4 linked regions of the Daphnia pulex genome follow. The main gene of each other region encodes a partner of the protein of the gene in region 4 in a complex. Links are inferred from orthologs where the notes say so. Each region holds a gene or a part of one and is shown on either strand. Other genes may lie near its edges.

Region 1 (5,720 bases), on a different chromosome or scaffold from region 4:
ACGTTTCCCCGCTGATGACTTCATTCGCCGAAACGCATCCACAAATCCGAAGCACCTTAGGTGGTCCATTGAGCTTACAGGCCATTCGAAAGGCCGCTCTTGTCTTTTTCCGAAGATTGAGAACACGTTGTGGAGAAGGCTGTTCCAGTGGCGGATCAGGAGGAGGAGTAGGAGGTTCTGGAGGGGTGCAGTGTGCCGATGTAGAAATTAGCTTGGAAAATCTTCGCTCCAATTTGGTGCCAACCACGACAGCAACAGGAAGCTTGAATGGTAATACTGCAACGGCATCTGTTGGAAGAGGGTATCCGGCATTCACATGTAGCTTCACGGGATCAACTAGCAGCGCACTCGGACCAATGGGCTTAGGAACCTACGCCGCGTTAAATGCTTCTAATGCCGGAATGAATTCGTTTGCGTTCAACACGGCAAGAGGATCGAGTCCACGTAGTTCATTGGGCACCCAAAGAGGTAGCATTGCCTCGACGATGAGCGGGACATTGAGAAAACCGTCCGGCTCCACTCTCATAAGCCTAGCAGGAATGCTGGCCGAAAGGGATTCAGTCACAGCCGCTGCCGCCGCCGCGACGACCACTTCGACGCCCATGGGAAGTGGGACGTTAAATGGAAGTGCTCCATCCGTCCGTGAAAGACGTCCCAGTCGTGGTTCCGAGTCTCAGGAACGTGATGTTCGTTTACGTCGTACAGCACCAGAATCTAGTAGTAGCGCTACAGCTCGACAGAGAAATTCTTCCGGTAGAGGTGGCGAAGAAGAAAGACGTGGTGCAAGAGAAAGGAGTCGCAGACGAGATCGTTCTAGACGCGACCGTTTCGACAGACTTGAAACTGTCGACACTGACCGACCTCTGTACGAAACGGAGCCGTTTATGGACAACAGGATTTCTGTCGACCAACGAGTCAAGGTACTTTTTAAAGCTCTTCTAAATTGTATATTTGTAAATTAATTTACTTATTTTTTCTCTACTCAGATTGTCGATCCCAATCAAGTCTACGATACCATTAATCTGGGCCGACGAATTGATGTTCTCTGGCCAAGTCCAACAATTCGTAACCAAGGTGGAAAATCTTATTGGAAATCATGGCTTCCCGAAGTGGGTATGGAAGGACAGGTAAGAAAACTATACGCGATGGGTGAATAGTTTTCCTTTTACTGTACTTTGTGTTTGATTAGGTGGTACATCGTTGGGTGCCTAATCATCCAGATTCGCGACAAAGATCGCACGTGGATCGCGTCATCCTTCTCTTGAAAATAGACGATAAATACGTCCCAATCGCCGAATCGGCGGTCGAAATTGCATCATTGGTTAGTGTCAACATCGGGGATTCTATCGTCGTTAATGATACTAAGCTTAAAACCCAGGGAGTTGCTGATTGAAATTCCCAAACGCCGCAGTGTTTTTTTTTCGAGTCCATTAGGCTCATCGTTGTAATATGAAACGGTATTTTGGTTTGAATGTGAACCCCGAAATTTGTTCACGAACCTTGTTTTGTAAATAATGTTTGTGTTATGCGGAAATGCTATGTGTTATTTGACATTGACTAGGAAAAACCACTGTGATTTGAAAACATTGTCAATAACGTTTACCGAGTTTTTCAAATGTCGAATGAAATTTGAAATTGAGTAATTCGAAACAAATAAACTTTTGGATTGTTTGTAGTCTAGGAACTATATATTTAGATTTTTCCTTATTCAACTACCGCACCCGCCTCATAGTTACTGTTAATTATTAAAATCACGAAAATTCCCGTGTTAGTAGTGACACAAGGAGTGATGGTGAGAAAGTAAACACTTAACAGTCGCATAGAGGAGTGACTCCAGTAGCATAAGAATGCGCCTGTCATTTTATTTGGTGTCTGATAGAAAAACTTGTCGGATTTTTAAATAACAATAGCAGGGGTATGGAGAGAAAGATATCTCCATAAATCTCTCCATACCCCTGACAATAGTATGCCGGTATGCACATAGTTTGAAATTTGAATATTATGAAATTGTTGATTATGAAAGAATCGGTGAACGAATACGATCGCTCTGATACGATATAGATGTTATACCCTTGAAAAAGTAGTAGTCTAGAAAAAAATCGTGCGCAGTTTACGCCGATGCGCACCACAGCGGCAGATAGCAGAACTAAACTTTTTTTTACGCTTGACTACCTGTCTACTTCAAGTCCTTTGTTCGACAAGCAGTCGGTTCTCGTCTCGTTTCTTGAAGTAGACAGGTAGTCAAGCGTAATAAAAAGTTTAGTTCTGCTATCTGCCGCTGTGGTGCGCATCGGCGTAAACTGCGCACGATTTTTTGCTAGACCACTACTTTTTCAAGGGTATAACATCTATACACAATACACATAAAGTTGCATAGAATATTTGCATCGTTGTTGGCTTCTTGCAGATAAGGGGGCATAAAATTAATGTATATATTTTGCGCGCAAGAAAAACTCCGCGCATATTACAATTTTTGAATTTTTAAAAAATACGCTTTAGTCTCTTTATGTCATTGCCACTTCCCACTTGCCAGTGCCAGCAGACGACCAGTGACCAGACGCTTTTCTGATTGCCGAGCCTCTGTCACAGTTTTACAGACACATAGTCAACGCATAAGAAGAGCGTATTGCTAATCAAGATTACTACTCAAAGTTAAATTTACTTTTGCGGTGACAACTAATTAACATATATTTTTTTATTGATTGTTACATGTCAACAAATCTGGTTAAAATTATAGTCAGGGATGCTGTAGTCTTGACCTTGATCAATGGATGAAGTAGTTATTCGGATTCTGTTCTTTGCAAAGGCCAGAGAGTTAGTTGGAAAAGATTTTGACAATATTTCACTTTCCAGAACAACTTCAAGAATCACTGGGGCAAATCTTTTGTGCATCATTACAGAACAATTTCCAGCTCTAGAATCCATATCAAAGAACATTGTCCTAGCTGCTGATGAAGAATATGTTGAATTTGATCAGCTTATAGACATTAAAAATTGCAAGGAAATTGCAGTGATCCCACCATTAAGTGGTGGCTAGGTCGCTAGGATTCTTCATAAGCAGTGTGCTACAGCTTAATTCGCCAGAGCCCTTCAATTGTATTTTAAAATGGATATTATTAACTTAGTTGAAGAACAGCTTGATGTGAATTCAATCTACTCTAAAGTGGTTGAACATTCTACTGGAGCTGTGTCATTATTTGTGGGAACAACAAGGAATAATTTTGAAGGAAAGAAAGTAATGTCAATTTGAATAATCTAAAGTCAAATATTTCTAAATCAAATTTGCTTTATATTTAAGGTGATTAGTCTAGAGTATGAAGCTTTCAAGCCAATGGCATGTAAAGAAATCAAGAAAATTTGTGAGAATATTAGAGAAAAATGGAAGGTTAAACACATTGCATTCCACCATAGGTATAATTTTTTTTTTTACCATACTGTAGTTATAATGAGGAAACTTAAGAAACATTTTTTTGTTTGTTTGTTTGTTTTAATTACCTATTTTTCTTTCCAGATTGGGAGAAGTTCCGGTTGGTGAAGCAAGTGTTGTAATAGCTGTTTCATCCGAGCATCGAGCCGAATCTTTAGAGGCTGTTCAATTTGGGATTGACGCGCTTAAGAAGTCTGTACCAATTTGGAAGAAAGAACTTTATAGTGATGGTGCTCCTGAATGGAAAGCCAACAAAGAATGCCTGTGGACAAGTAAAAATTAAACAAATAATGCTTAGTTGTTCCTATTTGTTGTATGAATTTTGAATTCATAACAGTACTGATTCTTAACAAGTAACACAAATATTGAACCTTAATCGATTTTCCGATATCAGAACAATATTTGAAATGGTTTCCAGTACTTTTCATTAGTTAAAAATCGGAGCATGAACGTTAGTTTGGCTGTAGTTTCAATCTTACTAAAGTGATAATATCTACGTAGTGCTGTCAAGTCTGACATTTAAAATATAAGGTTTTTAAGGGTTTTTAATTCTCTTTTTATTTTTTAACTAAGCAATGTTAACATTCATTTTACTTATTATCCAAGTACTTTCCAGTTCCCAACGCTTTCCAATCTTTGCCCTTTCATTATATAATAACATATACTGTGTGATTCTAAAGATGAGTAGCTGCAATGCTGCATTCTACGCACTGCTTCAATCTATTAGACGTTTTCGTGTGGTTCGACAGCTTTGCTGCCTATAAGCTTTAAGCTAATTATCTGACGGAATAGGGACAACCACACATAGACGTCCTTTATTTAGTATTTAGTTGTGACTTCTGCATTTGTTCCCTTCACTGCCGCGTACGTCATTTGATTATTTGGCTTATAGAAGTATGGCTTAAAGAAAGCACAAGCGTTCAGAAGTTTTTATTAGTCAAAATTAAAAAAAATAAGTACGAAAATATTCTAATCTTGTTAGGTGGGGAAATTCGGGATTTGAAATTTTTTATTTCCATGAGAATGAGTTGTTGGAATATTTGCTTGATGTGATAGATGCTTAATAGTCAATAGCATGTTTTGAATTGATATAGATCAAGAAGAAGACGCTAGTCTATCTAAAAAGAGGAAAATAATGGTGGACTATGCAGCTGCCGATTGCGTTCAGATCAAGGCTTCAAATTTAGAGGTATTGTTGATCCGTTTTACTTTTATCAAGTCTTTTCTCAATAAATATTTTAAATGTTTTTAATTTTTCAGTTGGGAAAACGAATTACTGCGTTTATGGAACGGAAACGATCAGAGTCGGACGTATTCAACGTTCAGGAGTTCTGTCACAGACTACCATTAAACGAATTAGAGAATTCATGTGCTCGCACAGAGGCAGTGCTTGTAAGCAGAAAAGATAGTAAAAGTCATCTAAAGGGTAAAATTATTTTATTTTAAGGATTCAACGCTGATTACTGATTTCTTTACGTTTTAGTGTCGAGATGCGTAAATATGTGGGGACCACAAACACACTCTGAAGTTCCGGCTCCATCTTCAGTAAACACCAAATTGAATCCGACTCCTGCTATCCAAGAACGGCTACAAAATATGGAAAAACACTTGGGTTTTAATTCAAGAGAACAACCTATTCCACTGGATGTGTACGGACGCTTGAAAGCCCTTGAAGATAGAATCCTTCATTTGGAAAGCATTAGTCCTGAATATTTCGACGGACCGTTTAATCTTCAGAATAATAAAGAAGATGAAGATTTGATATCAAAAATTGAACAAAAAATGGATGAATTACGTAGAAAATTAGTATAGTACCACTTTCTTTTTTCTGGTTGTAATCTGATCAATAAAATATAATGCATCCTTCAAATTGGTAATTGCCTTATTAGTTATTAGTTATTATTGCTTATTGTAGTCTGGGAGCCGAGGGACAGAGGCGGGGCAGTAGACTTCTTGGCTACTGGCAAAAGGTTTAGGGGGAAATACTGTCATAAAGTTGATCGGGTATTATTGATATAAATTTCTACGTCCATTTGTGAAAGTCGCAATCGTCTAGCTAACATATTTTTGGAGATATTAACGGAAAACTTTCAGGGGGTAGCCGAATTTTTGATTTTTTTTTTTTCGATTTTTGACCGTTTCATCCTGGCGGATTGGCATGTCCGGCTGGTGATATTTCGATGTGGATACAAAATATGGTATATAAATGACTATATCTATACGTTGGGTAGAGCCAATAATAAGAAGAGGCCCGGAGTTGGATCTCTTCCCAGGCAATGATGACAAAAGCAAA
Region 2 (4,314 bases), on a different chromosome or scaffold from region 4:
TCTGATGACTGAACTGACTTCCAGTTCATCAAAGGTTGGAGGAAACCTGGCTGCTCCACCCCCTAAAGGCACTCACTGGCTGCTCCTCTTTGCTGGCTGTGTGCTGTAGCTAGCTGGATATCGCGTGCACACAGCATCCGAGGCACACCAACAGCAGCTCTCATGAACCAGCAGAGCGAGAGAGCATGTACCATACTACTATACCAGACGTGAAAGGATATATGGGCGGCAGACAGAGAGAGGGAGGATGTATGTAGTGGGGTGTGGTGACGGGAGAGCAAGAGCTCCATATACCTTTCGAGGACCGCGCAGCAGCAGCAGCTGAAAGAGATACTTACATAATAAGTAAGCAGATCGAAATCATAACTCCCGATAACTCCGCGTCGTTATAGATCCCGTCTAGCGTCTACAAACAAGGCATGGCTAAATATATATACGCGTATACAGCACACAACCAATTTCGACCAATTTCGACTTTTCGCTTGGTTTGTATTGCAGACGTAATCACCCGCTCTTATTGCTAATTCCTGCGGGATCCGGATCCCATCCATTCCACTTTTCGAAAATAAAACATGAAAGCGAAAAACATGCGGGGGAAATAAACTAACAAGGCGCGAAGCAATTGATTATCTTATTCGTCGCCAAGTGCTCACAGACAGTTCACACGGCCGATCTCTAACAAAATGTGTTAACGGGAAAGCGCATGTCAAACTTTTTGACAAGAAAGTCTGTCACGCGTGTCAAGGATGAGAAATTAAAAAACAAAAAACAAAACTCCCGTGTTAAATCCTGATGGGATGATTGCTGGTGTACGCCCACGCGGATAAAAATATACAGGATAAAAAATGATGCGATTGATGTCTTTGAAAAATTTTGAGATCGGAAAAATTATATATGAAATTAACGATGATTAAAGACAGTTTGATTACCTAGTCTATTTAAAAAAAAAGATGAACCATTATTTTAGTAGAGATTTGTTTCTTAAATTGTTGTTATTTATTTATAGAGAAACTTGGGAGTAAGCAAAACTTGTTCATTTATCCGTCTCATTCAAAAGAGCGTCAGACTTATTTCTTCAACTTTTTGTTTTTCCATCCACGTCTGATTTACAGTTTCCGATGTGGGCGGATGTAGGTCTGAAGGGGCCAATGGTAGACAGCGACACAGCGTATATCAGTTTTGTATCCGTTGCCTGGAGTCGGAGTGGATGAGTAGTATCCCGGGGCATATCCTGCCTTTTCTCTGATTCCCGACTCTCACACTTTGTGTAGGATTTGAAAATATATCTTTGGATCAAACTTGTCTTGAATTCCATGACCTGATTTGTAGGCGACTGGGGATGGTAGGAGGTTTCCGAGAAACGAATTTTATAAGTGAAAGTTAGAGTCGCAAATCAATAATCTAACTTCTCGTAATTTCGGCGTTTGGCAATCTATTATTCCCTATAGGCTATATACGGGTGTATAGCAAGCGATTATCCATTCAAAAGTTTTCAGGTACACACAACAGTCATTCCCTTGTAAGATTAGCATCGATGGAAATCTAACTTTTGGCTGCTAAAGGAAGTTTGGGTCCCTTTGACTCGGAGATGTAGAGTGGCTTGGCGAAAAGGAGGAAAGTTTGTTATCCTATTACACATGCCGCTCTTGACACTATCTAACGACAAGTCTAACGATCTTTTGCCGTCTTTTGCGTACGTCATATTTGGTGATCTCCATCCATTCCGTCAAAATCGTTATTGAATCTAATAAGAACAGAAGTGATCACGATTGTTAAAATTTTCATGTCGATTTGTTTTAACATCCAAGTGTTGTTCAAGATACAATAAATAATACTAGTAAAACAAAATCGGTTCAAGTTAGAATAACCAATCTAAGCTGCTGAAGCAACAATGTACTGTAAATACTAAATATTGGTGTAATAAAATTGATATTTCACTAGTTTGATATTTAACCTATATCTTGTCTGTTCATATATTAAGATCTGCTTATCTTCTTCGTGCTACATAAAAAAAATTATTATTTATCTTTATCATACGCCTCTTTATTATGCGACTCGCGACTGCTGGTCTAACGGGGGCGAAAAACTTATTTGTGCAAACGGTTAGAATATTACTCACAGATGGCGATGTGGTCTTGGCACTTCTTATTTTCCCGCCCTTTATTGTAGCAGAAGCAACATCGAAATCATCAACTGTGACTGTGTATTTGTTTCAGCAAAAATCTGAAGTTTTCAAGTGTCGGAGTGTTGGTTTCGGTATAATCGGAAATAAATTATTGTAGGAGAAGTTTTGACAGGTAGGATGTTTTCTTTTTCCTATGAAAATCTTGTAACAAGTGTAGTTAATTTTTTAAAAAGTTTCTAGAAATCTCTTGGAAATGACTAAATGGTGTTATTATTTGAAATAATAAGTGACATTTTCTCTCTTTATTGATTTGAATAGAATTCATATGATGAAATATATGTTTTGTTCAACTAATGTATCTAGCTGATGACAGGAATTTTGTTTTGATTTTCCCAGGTACGTAAGCAATGGCAGAACGACCTGAAGACTTAAACCTTCCCAACTCAATAGTAGCAAGAATCATAAAAGAATCCTTGCCAGAAGGTGTTAATGTGTCTAAAGAGGCTAGAACCGCCATTGCTAAAGCTGCTTCTGTATTTGTTCTCTATTGCACATCATGCTCTAACAATCTGGCTATGAAAGCTAACAGAAAGGTGAATCACAGAATCAGAAAATTTTGTTCCATTCTCTCAATTATTTACTAAAATTTTTTTGTTAAATAAAGATCATCAGTGGCCCGGATGTCCTGGGAGCAATGGCTGACATGGAATTTGAAAGATTTATTGAACCACTACAGGCTTCTCTTGAAGGTAATTTCTCTTTTTCAAAACAATTTTTAGAATGTCAACATGTTCTTTTCTTTTACAGTGTACAAGAAAGCACAGAAGGAACGCAAAGAAGCTATGGCTAAACGGAAACAGGAAAAATCCGACAAAAAACCGGAAGATATTGAAGAAGGATCAGATGAAGGTGGAGAAAATGATAATGGAAATGATAATGAAAATGACAATGAAAATGATAATGAAAATGAAAAGGAGAATGAGGATGAAGAAGTGGATGAATGATCTTAAATGACAAAAAAATGTGTGATAAAATTTGTATTCGCACGACAAAAAAATTAATAAAAGAAAAAAAAACACGACCTCAAATAGTTTGTATACTGTGAAAATTAAAGTGTGATTTACGTCTCGAAACGACAGTAGCAACAGACAAGATAAAAATGAAGAAAACATTTTTTTTAGGATGCCAAAGGCACAAAGATATGACCGATGAAAAGCTAAAAAGCAAATAAATAACATTATGAGTGAACCTGCAGTCGTTTAACGATGGTTGCCCGGCACATTGGGCATTGATTTAGCTTGTTGCCACATCCAGAACAACAACATAAGTGTCCACAAGAAAGGAATATAACTTGGCACTGTTTAATATAAATGCAATTAGAATGAATTCGTTTTGAAAAATTGAACTGTAATAAATGTAAGCTTACTGAACTGTCCAAGCATATGACGCAATTAGTTTCCATAAAAACTTCCATCGGAGGAGCGGATGCCACCTCCTCATCATCGAGTACAGAGGAAGGCGCACTTGGAAGATACTGTTGTGCATGTTGAATATTATCAGGCATGTTATCGATTAGACGCTGATACTGGACAAGCCAATAGTCGGCCGCTTGGTTCTGTCGCTGGACTTCCATTTCTTCCAAGAGGTGTTTTAGATCTTTACGACGCAGCTGCTGTTGCTCTATTAACTGGGAAAGCAAGTCAGCCAGTTGTATACGATTTTCCGAGAGCAAGTTCTAGGATCGATAAGAAAAAAAAAAGGAATTAATAAATGACCAAATTAAAGTCATACGTATTTCAGACTTTGCACTCACGTTAGTAATATCGATTTGCCTGCTTTTGCGCTGTAATTCCCAAGCGGTAAGCTGATTAAGTTTATCTACTACGGCTCGAATATCTTCGCTAAGCTGGGTGGTCCGCCGATCACGCTGGGATAACAATGACGAAAACGCTTGGTACTGCCAAGATTCTTCTTCTAATAACGACATGACTAGAGCAGCTTGGTCTTTTTGCCGATGCTGCAAAATTTGGTCAATCTGACGATTTTTTACTTCATCCCTAAAAATTAACCATAAAAATCTTTTAATACCAACAAAATTGTGTTCGATAATAATGCTTAGGCTTACTCCATTTGCACCACATTGAATAGGGTTTTATTCAACATTGTTTTCTGACTGGATATGTCTTGTT
Region 3 (4,451 bases), on a different chromosome or scaffold from region 4:
GCAATGTGTCTCACTCTCTTATACGCGTGAGCACTTTACCCTTACCAACTTTTGTTAAATGAAAACGCTAAATCTTGATGATGTCGCCAACAAACTCACCAAGTCATCAGTAATAACTCTTTGTAATCTTGATGATCTTATAAAAGTTGTGGACTTCCGTTACAGCCACAGACTTGAGGAACGGCCAGGAGCTCTTGTGGGTATGCAACTGCCGAAGAAAGTTGTGTAGTTCCTCGTATTCGCGAGTTTCCAGTGCTGGCTGCAGCAGGTTGCGTTGGAGTTGACGTCGACTGGGGGATTTTTTGGGGCTGGGCACGATCATAAAATGGCTAAGCTTCAGAAGTTGGTTGACCTGGATTGAGGCCATAAATTTCAGTTTTGTCGTCAGTCCGTGAGATATTTTTGGGTATATTGACTAAAGTTGTAGCAACCTACTAATATTGAGCGTTATTACATTACGCGTTTGCTGATTAACGTACGTTTTGTGCTGGTATTCCATCCCCAACTTGAAAATGACGTTGGCTAGTAAAGGAGACTGGGATTAATATTTTGGGACCACTGCTTTCCCACTGATGGTTACTCCACCAGACCAATATGGTAAATCAACGTGAAAGTGGGCCAATATAATGCCAGTGTTGCAGAGAGTAGATTATGTCTGTCTTCTTCTTTCTCAACTTTGACAACAGTATGAAAAGTATGTCTATCAATTTCTACGTCAAGATCCAGACAGGATTTGTTTTGACCTAAAATGTAATAAATCATTAGTGTGTTTTACGACAAAAGCAAGGTGATTTAATTATGTGCTTGTTTTCCAACTGTAACATGGTAGCCACCTGCCTCAAGTTGTATTGCAGCAGACAAAGCACAAAGGGCTTTTCAAATTCGTTCTTGCCCAAATTTTCAAGCAACTATTGGAATTGATGGGGCTGCTCGATTAATATCACTCCTTACGGTCCCCCAGGCAATAGTTTCTTTACCACCGTCAATTTCTCACCGACCACAATCCACATTCCAAGGTCCACGGTGCAACGGGACACCCGTGGGTAACATAAGTTAGACAATCGAGAAATATAAACAAACTTTAGAGTGAACGGACTCATTATTGCGTACTAGTCACTACAATCGAACAATTCCATGATTGAAACTTTGAAAAAATATGCAGATGATGTCATCGTCACCAACTCACCAATCTGCAATGCAGTCTGCAGACTTGCACAGTGCAGACGAACTTCCGTGAGGAATGGGAAGCGACGTTGCCCTTTTACGAAGTTCAGAAAATTACCCGAATTCTTTCTAACTTCTCAGTTGTTGATCTCCGTTAGCAAGCAAAGGGCTTTTGTGATTTTGTTTTCATTTAAAAAATCAAAAAACATATTCAAACTACAAACGACAAATATCCTATTCATTAAGGACTTCAGGTTTAAATTAAAATATCTAGCCTTTTATGCTTACAACAGAGTTATAGATGTATAGCTCTGCCATACACGCTGTCATCTATAGCTCTGCTTACAAACAGCGCAAATAGAATCACACTCGGTCTCTGAATTTCGAATTTAAAAAACAAAGCTAACACGCACAATAACACTGCTTGTCAACAACCTTCAATAGATCGAGTTGCTATAAGCAACACGAATGAAGTTTAGATATTTTACCCGGAATTTTTCTTTTCCTTGCGTGGTGCCGTGGTCGACCTAGGCGTATTCTTGGTTTTGTCAATGACTTTTCCTCTAATTCCTCGCGGACCGACGATGAAGTAGAAATTGTAGTATAAAAATGACAATCATTTCAAGGTTTGCGTGGAAATCACAGGGGGATGACAGCAATTTTACAACCAAAAATGACCTGATTCTGAATTATGCGGGGAAAAAACAATGGTCTTTTTTAGTTTTTGTTTCGTAATGCCTATAATGATAATGAATTTGGATTGCCTAACTAATGGTGCAAGCTGATAATGGTGCAAGCTGATATATTCTATCAGTCGGATACGAAGTACTAGTCGCAGCCACCAGATGGATAAGGTTCTGGACATTCCCAACCTAGTACCTGTATACGATTGGTAGAGGCGCATAAAAAAAGGTTATTTTAGCGATTCATTTTAGTTTCTTATCTAGTGTGTTTGGTGTAGTTTGTTGTATTGCTTTGTTTATGCATTCTTCTGCACGAGAGAAAAGTTAATTATTAGTGAAAACTTTGAAAGAATTTAGGATCATACTCTTACCGTGTGTGCTGTTCTTTTAATTCTACGTATATAATTTTCTGGTATATAATGAGTCATAAATTTGTTTTTCAATATTACGGTTTCCTTCTAGTATTGGCTGACAAAGCCTTTGCTCTTCATAAAGTTTTCTGTTTGTGGACAGTAGGTTTTTTTTCTGATATACAGGCTTTAAAGATGGCAGAAGCTGTGCCAGAAGAAGAATTGACCATTCCGAGAGCTGCTATGAACAAAATGATTAAAGAGATTGTTCCCAGTGTCCGAGTTGCCAATGAAGCTAGAGAATTGATTCTTAACTGTTGTTCTGAGTTCATACACCTTTTGGCTTCAGAGGCTAATGAAATTTGTACTCAGCAACAGAAAAAGACTATTAATGCAGAGCATATACTTGGAGGTAATTGTTACAAATGTTGTAAAGTAATGGAAAGGAAAAATAATCTAACACACATGGTTGTAGCATTAGATAGGCTTGGATTCAATGACTACCGTACTGATGCTGAAGCAGTGTTGAAAGATTGTAAAGCTGTTGCTGCCAAAAGGAGGCGCCAAAGTACAAGGTTGGAAAACTTGGGAATTCCAGAAGAAGAGCTATTGAGACAGTAAGTTTTATCACTTTTTTATGATTTAATTAGTCTAATACATATTTTTTAAAATATAGACAGCAGGAATTATTTGCCAAAGCCAGAGAAGAACAAGCTGCTGCTGAGCAGCAACAGTGGCTACAACTTCAAGCAGAGGCTCAAATGTCCTTGCAGCAACAACAGGGAGATGTTCCATCAAATTCAGAAGATGGAGAATACTCTTAGAAGATTGTTTGTGAAATTTGATTCAATACATACAAAATTTGATTTCTAGAATGAGCTTAATGAAGTGTATTTGAAATATTTCTACTGTTGTCTTAATTATTATTTATCAGTACCATCCTAACATTCTTTACTTTTGTACTTGAAGCATTATTTATACTACTCAGATACCTCATATTTGGAAAGAATTTAACTGCATGACTTATTGCATAATTAACAAGTTATTTTTCATTTTGAATGCTTAACAATTCGACAAGCCGCAAATCGACTTTATATCAGTATAATAAGGTTTGAGAGGATAAATAACATGGACAAACCAAGCCTTTGATCGACATCTAAGTGTTACGAGATTACGAGAAATTCAACTTTATCATAGTGGTATTGGACAAAAGTACGTGTGTCGTGGTGGAAAAAGAAGTTATATATAAATATGAAAAGGCAAAAGTGAAATTCCAAACATTATTTCTTTTTTCGACTAAGCAATCTTGCTTTCTGTAAAATTGCAAAAACATTGTTAGACCATATCTTAAAAGTAGAGCAAATAAACTGGACGACTTACCAAAGTTCCCTCGTCAGTTTTCGATTTAGCATAGCCATAACTTGAACTACTCTGTAATTTTTTCTGTTTCACAGCTTGCTTAGCTTTATCCAAACTGAATCCGCGAAAGAAGAATGAATTGTTGTGTTAATAAAATAAATAAAAAAATTAATAAAATATAAAAAAGGCTTACTTTTCTTTGATAATACGTTGCTGTTCACGATTCCAAATATCTTTAAAATCTGACGCAAACGTAGACCACAAACCAAAGAAATCCTTTGGGTCGAGCTCTGAATTTTTTTTAGGTGTGAATTTGAAATATTTCAAAACGGCTTCAAATCTACAAGAGAAAATAAATGACCAGTAATGACAATTTAATAGTCAAACTTCTTCCTATTATAATTACCTTTGTTTGCATTCTGTCAAATTTTCTTCTTCCTCGGATAGTGACTTTTTTGCTAAAAGAAAAATAGATTTAAAAACACAAGAAAATTGTAAACTCATTTCATGAGATCCAAACCTTGCACAAAAAAAGACTCCATTTTTTCCTTGAATGGCTCCAAATGTATCTCCTCCGATGCCGCTATTACTTGGTTAGCTTTTTGTTCAATACCTGCAAAAAATAACAATAAATTTAATTGCGATTCGAATTAGCTACCTCATAAAAAAAAAGTTGTACCTTCAATTTCTTTATTTAGCTGTCTAAGACTAGCTTCTAGCTCTTCGAATTTTAAGTGTCCAGCTTTATCCAAGTCAGTCGGCTCTGGTAGCGGCATGCGAGCATCATTCGTTCCAGCCTTTTCATCGAATTTCTAATCTCACATACAGTACGATATCCATTATTTCACAATTATTAAAATTTTAACTCATGTAAAACATTACCTGAATGTAAACT
Region 4 (4,692 bases):
GGCGGGGTCCTTCAATTAATGAATTTATTTTCGATCGCTTTCTTTTATATTGTCCTAAATTGGGAAACATTTAAAATGTAAAAATCGATGGATTGGGATTTTTTTATTGTTCCCCAAATTCTCACGTGAGGCGGATGAAAATGGCGTCGCGAATGGAGCTCCATTAGCTTTTTCTATTGGATAATCATCTAGAACGAGGAGCTGGGGTTTATATAGATGTTACTAATTAGTTCAGAAATGCACAGGATGTCCAGGCAGGATCGCTGGTAGCAGAGAGAGAATACCGAACTTTTGGCCAGCGCGAAATGCGGATTACCAGACACTCACAATCATCCTTTAATAACATAGAGATTACGTGATGGAAAAGAGGAGCTAGAGCAGAGGGACGAACGTGAACGAACGCCGCAAGGATTACAAGTTTAGGGTGGATGATTCCGCCACCACCACAGCAACCCCCTACCATCCGTTCTAATATATAGTCAGCCCAACAGGTGCCCCTCCCTTTATTTTGTGTGTGTGTGTTGAGGGGGTCTATACACACGGTAAATAGACGTACACTAGGTAAAACTTGTTCTGCCAGCTCCTCTTTGAGTGTAAAGTTTTCTCCGCAACCGGAAATGTTGCGCAAAGTGCATTTTTGGGGAGAGGGGGGGTCGGAGTGAAAGTTTATGCGGAAGGGCCTTTTCTTCTATTATAAAAGTATTCCGACTACAATAATCCTTCGTATTTTATTTCATCGTCGTTTGCTCCTTTTCTCTCCCTTAAGTTTTACTTCGACGTCTTTATGCAAGAATAATCCGGCAGTCTTCCTCATCTTCTTGAAAATAACTTGGAACGTAGTTCTCTCTGTCATTAATCATGTACGACGTATTACATTGTGTAATATAGGGAATTCTTCGTTGCCTACTCTAATCAATTAATAATCCTACTTTCTCCTTCATATTTCCTGTACGCCCATCTTTTTGCCCGGCATTTTTGTCTATTCCGCTCTTAATCAATTATTACGTTCCTGAGCCAACACTTATTGATGGCGGGAGTCGGTAGAAAACCTTTTAATTATGAACCATGCAGGCCCCCGTGTTCTTAAATATTCGTATATAATCATTCAGGCTGGCTGGTTGGTTGTGCTGCATCGCTCGCTGCCATCTGTTTTATTCATTTGGCTGGCATTAACCATTCCGATGATTCGCCGAGGTGGTGCCGTGCAGGACTGCCGGATGTTGGAGATTACGAAATCTCTAGCGCCTTGTTCGTGCTCAGACTTGTGTGCGGTTTTGAGCGAAAAAATTATGTTTTAAAAACAACTTCCTGGAAATGAAGAGAAATCCAACAAACGTGGACTAGGGCACTAGGCCACACTCTTTTGCACAATGATTTGTGTAACGTTTTTGGGACTCCAATTAGTATTAATTTATTCGTTTTGATTTTTGTCTGATAGTCTAGGTCAAATCCGGCTGGGAAAAACTGGTACAAAATTGCCAAATGAATATTTTTCGAAAAATGAAATTTTCAACGAAAATCACAACAGCAAGTCTGGCAACGTCGTTACACTTTACTCTAATATCATTTGAAAATGGCGGCCGCCACAGAGATCAGTGACGAAGATGCCGCTGTTTTGCAGTTCCCAAAAGGTAAAAAGAACTATAATTTCCTACCCAGTTTACGGTTTTGAGCTTCCCTGTGTTAGGCTTGATATGTTTTCATAAAGGGATTTACAGTTATTACAGTTAATTGCTGTTAGGCTAGACCTGGCTAAGAACTGCACGTTTCGTGAACGTTTAATTCATTTGCAACGAATTTCTTAGAAATGTCGACTGATGAACCATGTGGAAATGTGTGGCCGGCGACAGATTGTTCCCAGACTCGAGTGTGTTTCATTTGTCAGACCCCTCTGACTGGAGTTTACATCAGGTGCGAGGAGTGTGTCAGAGTGGACTTGTGCCCAACGTGCTTTGCCAAGGGAAAGGAAAGCAATCACCATTTGAACAATCACAGCTACAGGGTCATACGAGATGATTTCTACCTCTTTGACAACTGGACTGCTCGGGAAGAACTCACTTTGCTGGATCAGTTGTCTACGCATGGGCCATCAAATTGGACGGAGGTTGCCAAACGCTCCAAAGCCAGTCCTGAAGAATGTGCAAACCACTATAACAAGTGGTACCTTGAAGACCCAGTGGAACCTCTACCAAGACCGAAAAGTCCAGAGAGACTGTACAGGCCTCAGCCTATCGTCTACAGAACCGGAACTCACGACCCCCCTAGGCCTGTTCCTGGATCAGTTTACCACAGAGACATGGCCGGTTACTGTGCTGCTCGAGGAGATTTCCAAGTGGAAGCCTTCCAGAATGCAGAATTTGACGTGGCGTCGTTACAGGATGAAACGAAACCCGATCCCGACGAAGAAATCGACCAAGAGGCTTTAGAACTCGAACGTGCATTGGCCGTGGCCGTGGTGCAAGTGTACAACGACAAGTTGCGCGAGAGATTTCGAAAGAAACGTATCGTCCAGGAACACGGGTTGATCAATTTTCATCGTCATTTGGCGGCTCGTTATCGCTACGACTCTACGCTGACACATCGCATTTGTGAGCGTCTCTCGGTGTTTTCCCAGGTGTTCAAATTTCAAGACCACTGCAGTCTCTTTGAAGGCTTGCACGGACATGTCGAGTTGCGGCAGCGAATCCAGCAGCTGCAAAGGTACCGCCACTTGGGGATCAAGACTCTGGCGTCGGCCAAAATCTACACGCAGCTTCAGGCTCGTCGTGAGAAGCACATGAAGCAGTGGAAGCAGTTTTCGGCCAACCTTCACGTGGCGTTCCCCGTCCAGCAGCAGCACCAACAGTTGGTGACCTCAGCCCTGCTTCAAGGAAGCAACGGCAACGTTCTAGTCAGCCCGGCTGGCCCTTTCCCACAGCAGCGAAGGAGCGCACCGCCGCTGGACATTGTCGGTCTGCCCGGTTACGACAAATTGAACGAAGGCGAACGTCAGTTGTGCTCCGTTTCACGTCTCGTTCCCGAGTCGTACATGGAATTTCGAAACATTCTCATCGCCGAGTGCCGCAACCGCAAAGGCATTCGGCTGGCTCAGGCCAGGACGTTGATCAAGATTGATGTGAACAAGACGCGCAAGATCTTTGATTTCCTCCTAGAAGAGAAACTAATCTACTTCCCCGCTTGATTTATGGCACCACTTGTTATAATAATGTTTTGTACAGGGGGCAGAGAGACTGAGAGAGAGAGGGGAAGAGGAGATGAGCAATAAACTTGCGTTATACAGTCAAGCCTCATGTCGTTTTAGCGTGTTGAAATCATCTCGAATTACCTGTTATATATATATATATATAGATATATAGATGTGTGGGCTTGTAGTCATGGGAAGCTCATGCAGGTTTGTTTTCTTAGATCAGCAGGAAAAGAAAGAAAAAGAGTCGACAAACGAGTGGGCACTAGTTTAGTAGTTTGCACAGTGAACCATCCCTTAATGCGGTTTCATTCTTCTGTCTCCATTCCACATCATTACAGAGTTCGAGAATGCGGAAACATTGCTGATATCTGAAGTCCACATGTTGCTGGACCATCGTAAATTACAGAATGAAAGCGCAGAGGACGAGCAGGAACTGTCGGAAGTCTTTATGAAGACGCTTAATTACACTCAGCGCTTTAGCAAGTTCAAGAATCGTGAGACTATCGCCGCCATTCGCAGGTTGATGCTCTTGAAAGTTTGATTTGTTTGTTTGTTTTTTCCCGGAATGAATCAATGACTTCATTCCCAACTTTTTCCTTACTTTTGTTTTTTCTTTCTTTCTTCTTGAACTCCAGTTTGCTGATGCAGAAAAAATTGCACAAATTCGAACTGGCAGCTCTGGCTAATTTGTGCCCGGAAAGCCCTGAAGAGGCCAAATCTCTCATTCCCAGGTACATCCAACCGTCACTGATATCTTAATTGATTTTTATAACGAAAGACTTGTTTGATTTCCCGCAGTCTTGAAGGCCGATTTGAAGACGAAGAACTCCGACAGATTCTGGAAGATATTCAAACCAAGCGAAGCTTCCAATATTGAACACGGTCGACCAACCCATGTCAGGCAAATGCACTTGAAATTCCTCATATTTTATTCTTTTTTTTCTCCTTTGGTCACAATACAGATTTTCCTTTTCATCCTTTTTCGTGATTTTCCATCCCAGGGATGGGCGCAGTCGAGAGTGATGCACACACTTGTGCGGCAAAGCGTAGGACGAGAGAGCCTTTAGTTAACGATAGCGAGGCATTTGGGTTGGCCTTCACTTAAAAGCTCTTGATTGAATTTACTGGCGGATGCAGTTGCTGAGGTCCTATATTTTTCTTTGCTCCTTTGCCCTATACTATCTTGTATTCTTCGTGGATCTGGTTATTTATTAGACAGTCGGTTGCTATGCGACCACAGACTCCCAGCTAAATTATTAGGAAAATGTTGTTGGAGCCAAAAGCTGATCGATAATCGTCGTGGCTTATTTGAAAGATAAGAGAGAGAAGAAAAAAGTCTCGTGCACCATAAGATCATATTAAAAACCAGAAAAAAGAAAGAGACGAGGATCCACTTACACGTGGACCGTGTGTACACCAGGGTAATGAGATCGATTTCCACGGCAAAGGATTTTGATGGAAAAAAACTGCATTCGACTCTCTTGCCTTGTACTACCTTCCACCAC

The links.
Region 1: transcriptional adapter 2-alpha-like (region 4) and molybdopterin synthase catalytic subunit-like share a complex: the UniProt entries of both Drosophila melanogaster proteins name them as parts of the ada2a-containing (ATAC) complex. The link is inferred for Daphnia pulex from reciprocal best matches to the Drosophila melanogaster genes Ada2a and Mocs2B.
Region 2: transcriptional adapter 2-alpha-like (region 4) and DNA polymerase epsilon subunit 3-like share a complex: the UniProt entries of both Drosophila melanogaster proteins name them as parts of the ada2a-containing (ATAC) complex. The link is inferred for Daphnia pulex from reciprocal best matches to the Drosophila melanogaster genes Ada2a and Chrac-14.
Region 3: transcriptional adapter 2-alpha-like (region 4) and protein Dr1-like share a complex: the UniProt entries of both Drosophila melanogaster proteins name them as parts of the ada2a-containing (ATAC) complex. The link is inferred for Daphnia pulex from reciprocal best matches to the Drosophila melanogaster genes Ada2a and NC2beta.

The regions. Positions count from the first base shown.
Region 1 is NC_060026.1:10,881,022-10,886,741, reverse strand, and holds molybdopterin synthase catalytic subunit-like, read left to right. Parts: upstream 1-2,380; 5' UTR 2,381-3,106; coding exon 3,107-3,235; intron 3,236-3,298; coding exon 3,299-3,411; intron 3,412-3,511; coding exon 3,512-3,699; intron 3,700-4,521; coding exon 4,522-4,616; intron 4,617-4,687; coding exon 4,688-4,853; intron 4,854-4,910; coding exon 4,911-5,239; 3' UTR 5,240-5,304; downstream 5,305-5,720. Other genes in the region: pecanex-like protein 1, read left to right, coding at 1-920, 987-1,127, 1,190-1,393. UniProt on the Drosophila melanogaster protein: Catalytic subunit of the molybdopterin synthase complex, a complex that catalyzes the conversion of precursor Z into molybdopterin.
Region 2 is NC_060025.1:6,579,155-6,583,468, reverse strand, and holds DNA polymerase epsilon subunit 3-like, read left to right. Parts: upstream 1-2,149; 5' UTR 2,150-2,297; intron 2,298-2,498; exon of another isoform or gene 2,499-2,521; 5' UTR 2,522-2,532; coding exon 2,533-2,718; intron 2,719-2,789; coding exon 2,790-2,874; intron 2,875-2,932; coding exon 2,933-3,129; 3' UTR 3,130-3,206; downstream 3,207-4,314. Other genes in the region: E3 ubiquitin-protein ligase LRSAM1-like, read right to left, coding at 3,363-3,482, 3,552-3,860, 3,939-4,182, 4,251-4,314. UniProt on the Drosophila melanogaster protein: Accessory component of the DNA polymerase epsilon complex. Participates in DNA repair and in chromosomal DNA replication. Histone-like protein which promotes nucleosome sliding of ATP-dependent nucleosome remodeling complexes.
Region 3 is NC_060021.1:11,078,562-11,083,012, reverse strand, and holds protein Dr1-like, read left to right. Parts: upstream 1-2,100; 5' UTR 2,101-2,259; intron 2,260-2,342; exon of another isoform or gene 2,343-2,383; 5' UTR 2,384-2,392; coding exon 2,393-2,609; exon of another isoform or gene 2,610-2,672; coding exon 2,673-2,814; exon of another isoform or gene 2,815-2,873; coding exon 2,874-3,021; 3' UTR 3,022-3,072; downstream 3,073-4,451. Other genes in the region: uncharacterized protein LOC124194693, read right to left, coding at 3,478-3,510, 3,578-3,671, 3,750-3,896, 3,963-4,014, 4,077-4,169, 4,236-4,368, 4,439-4,451. UniProt on the Drosophila melanogaster protein: Bifunctional basic transcription factor. Activates transcription of DPE (Downstream Promoter Element) containing promoters while repressing transcription of promoters which contain TATA elements.
Region 4 is NC_060028.1:9,041,254-9,045,945, reverse strand, and holds the end of transcriptional adapter 2-alpha-like, read left to right. Parts: intron 1-1,438; exon of another isoform or gene 1,439-1,443; 5' UTR 1,444-1,573; coding exon 1,574-1,631; intron 1,632-1,805; coding exon 1,806-3,181; 3' UTR 3,182-3,284; downstream 3,285-4,692. UniProt on the Drosophila melanogaster protein: Component of the histone acetyltransferase (HAT) complex ATAC; predominantly involved in acetylation of histone H4, including at Lys-6 (H4K5ac) and Lys-13 (H4K12ac).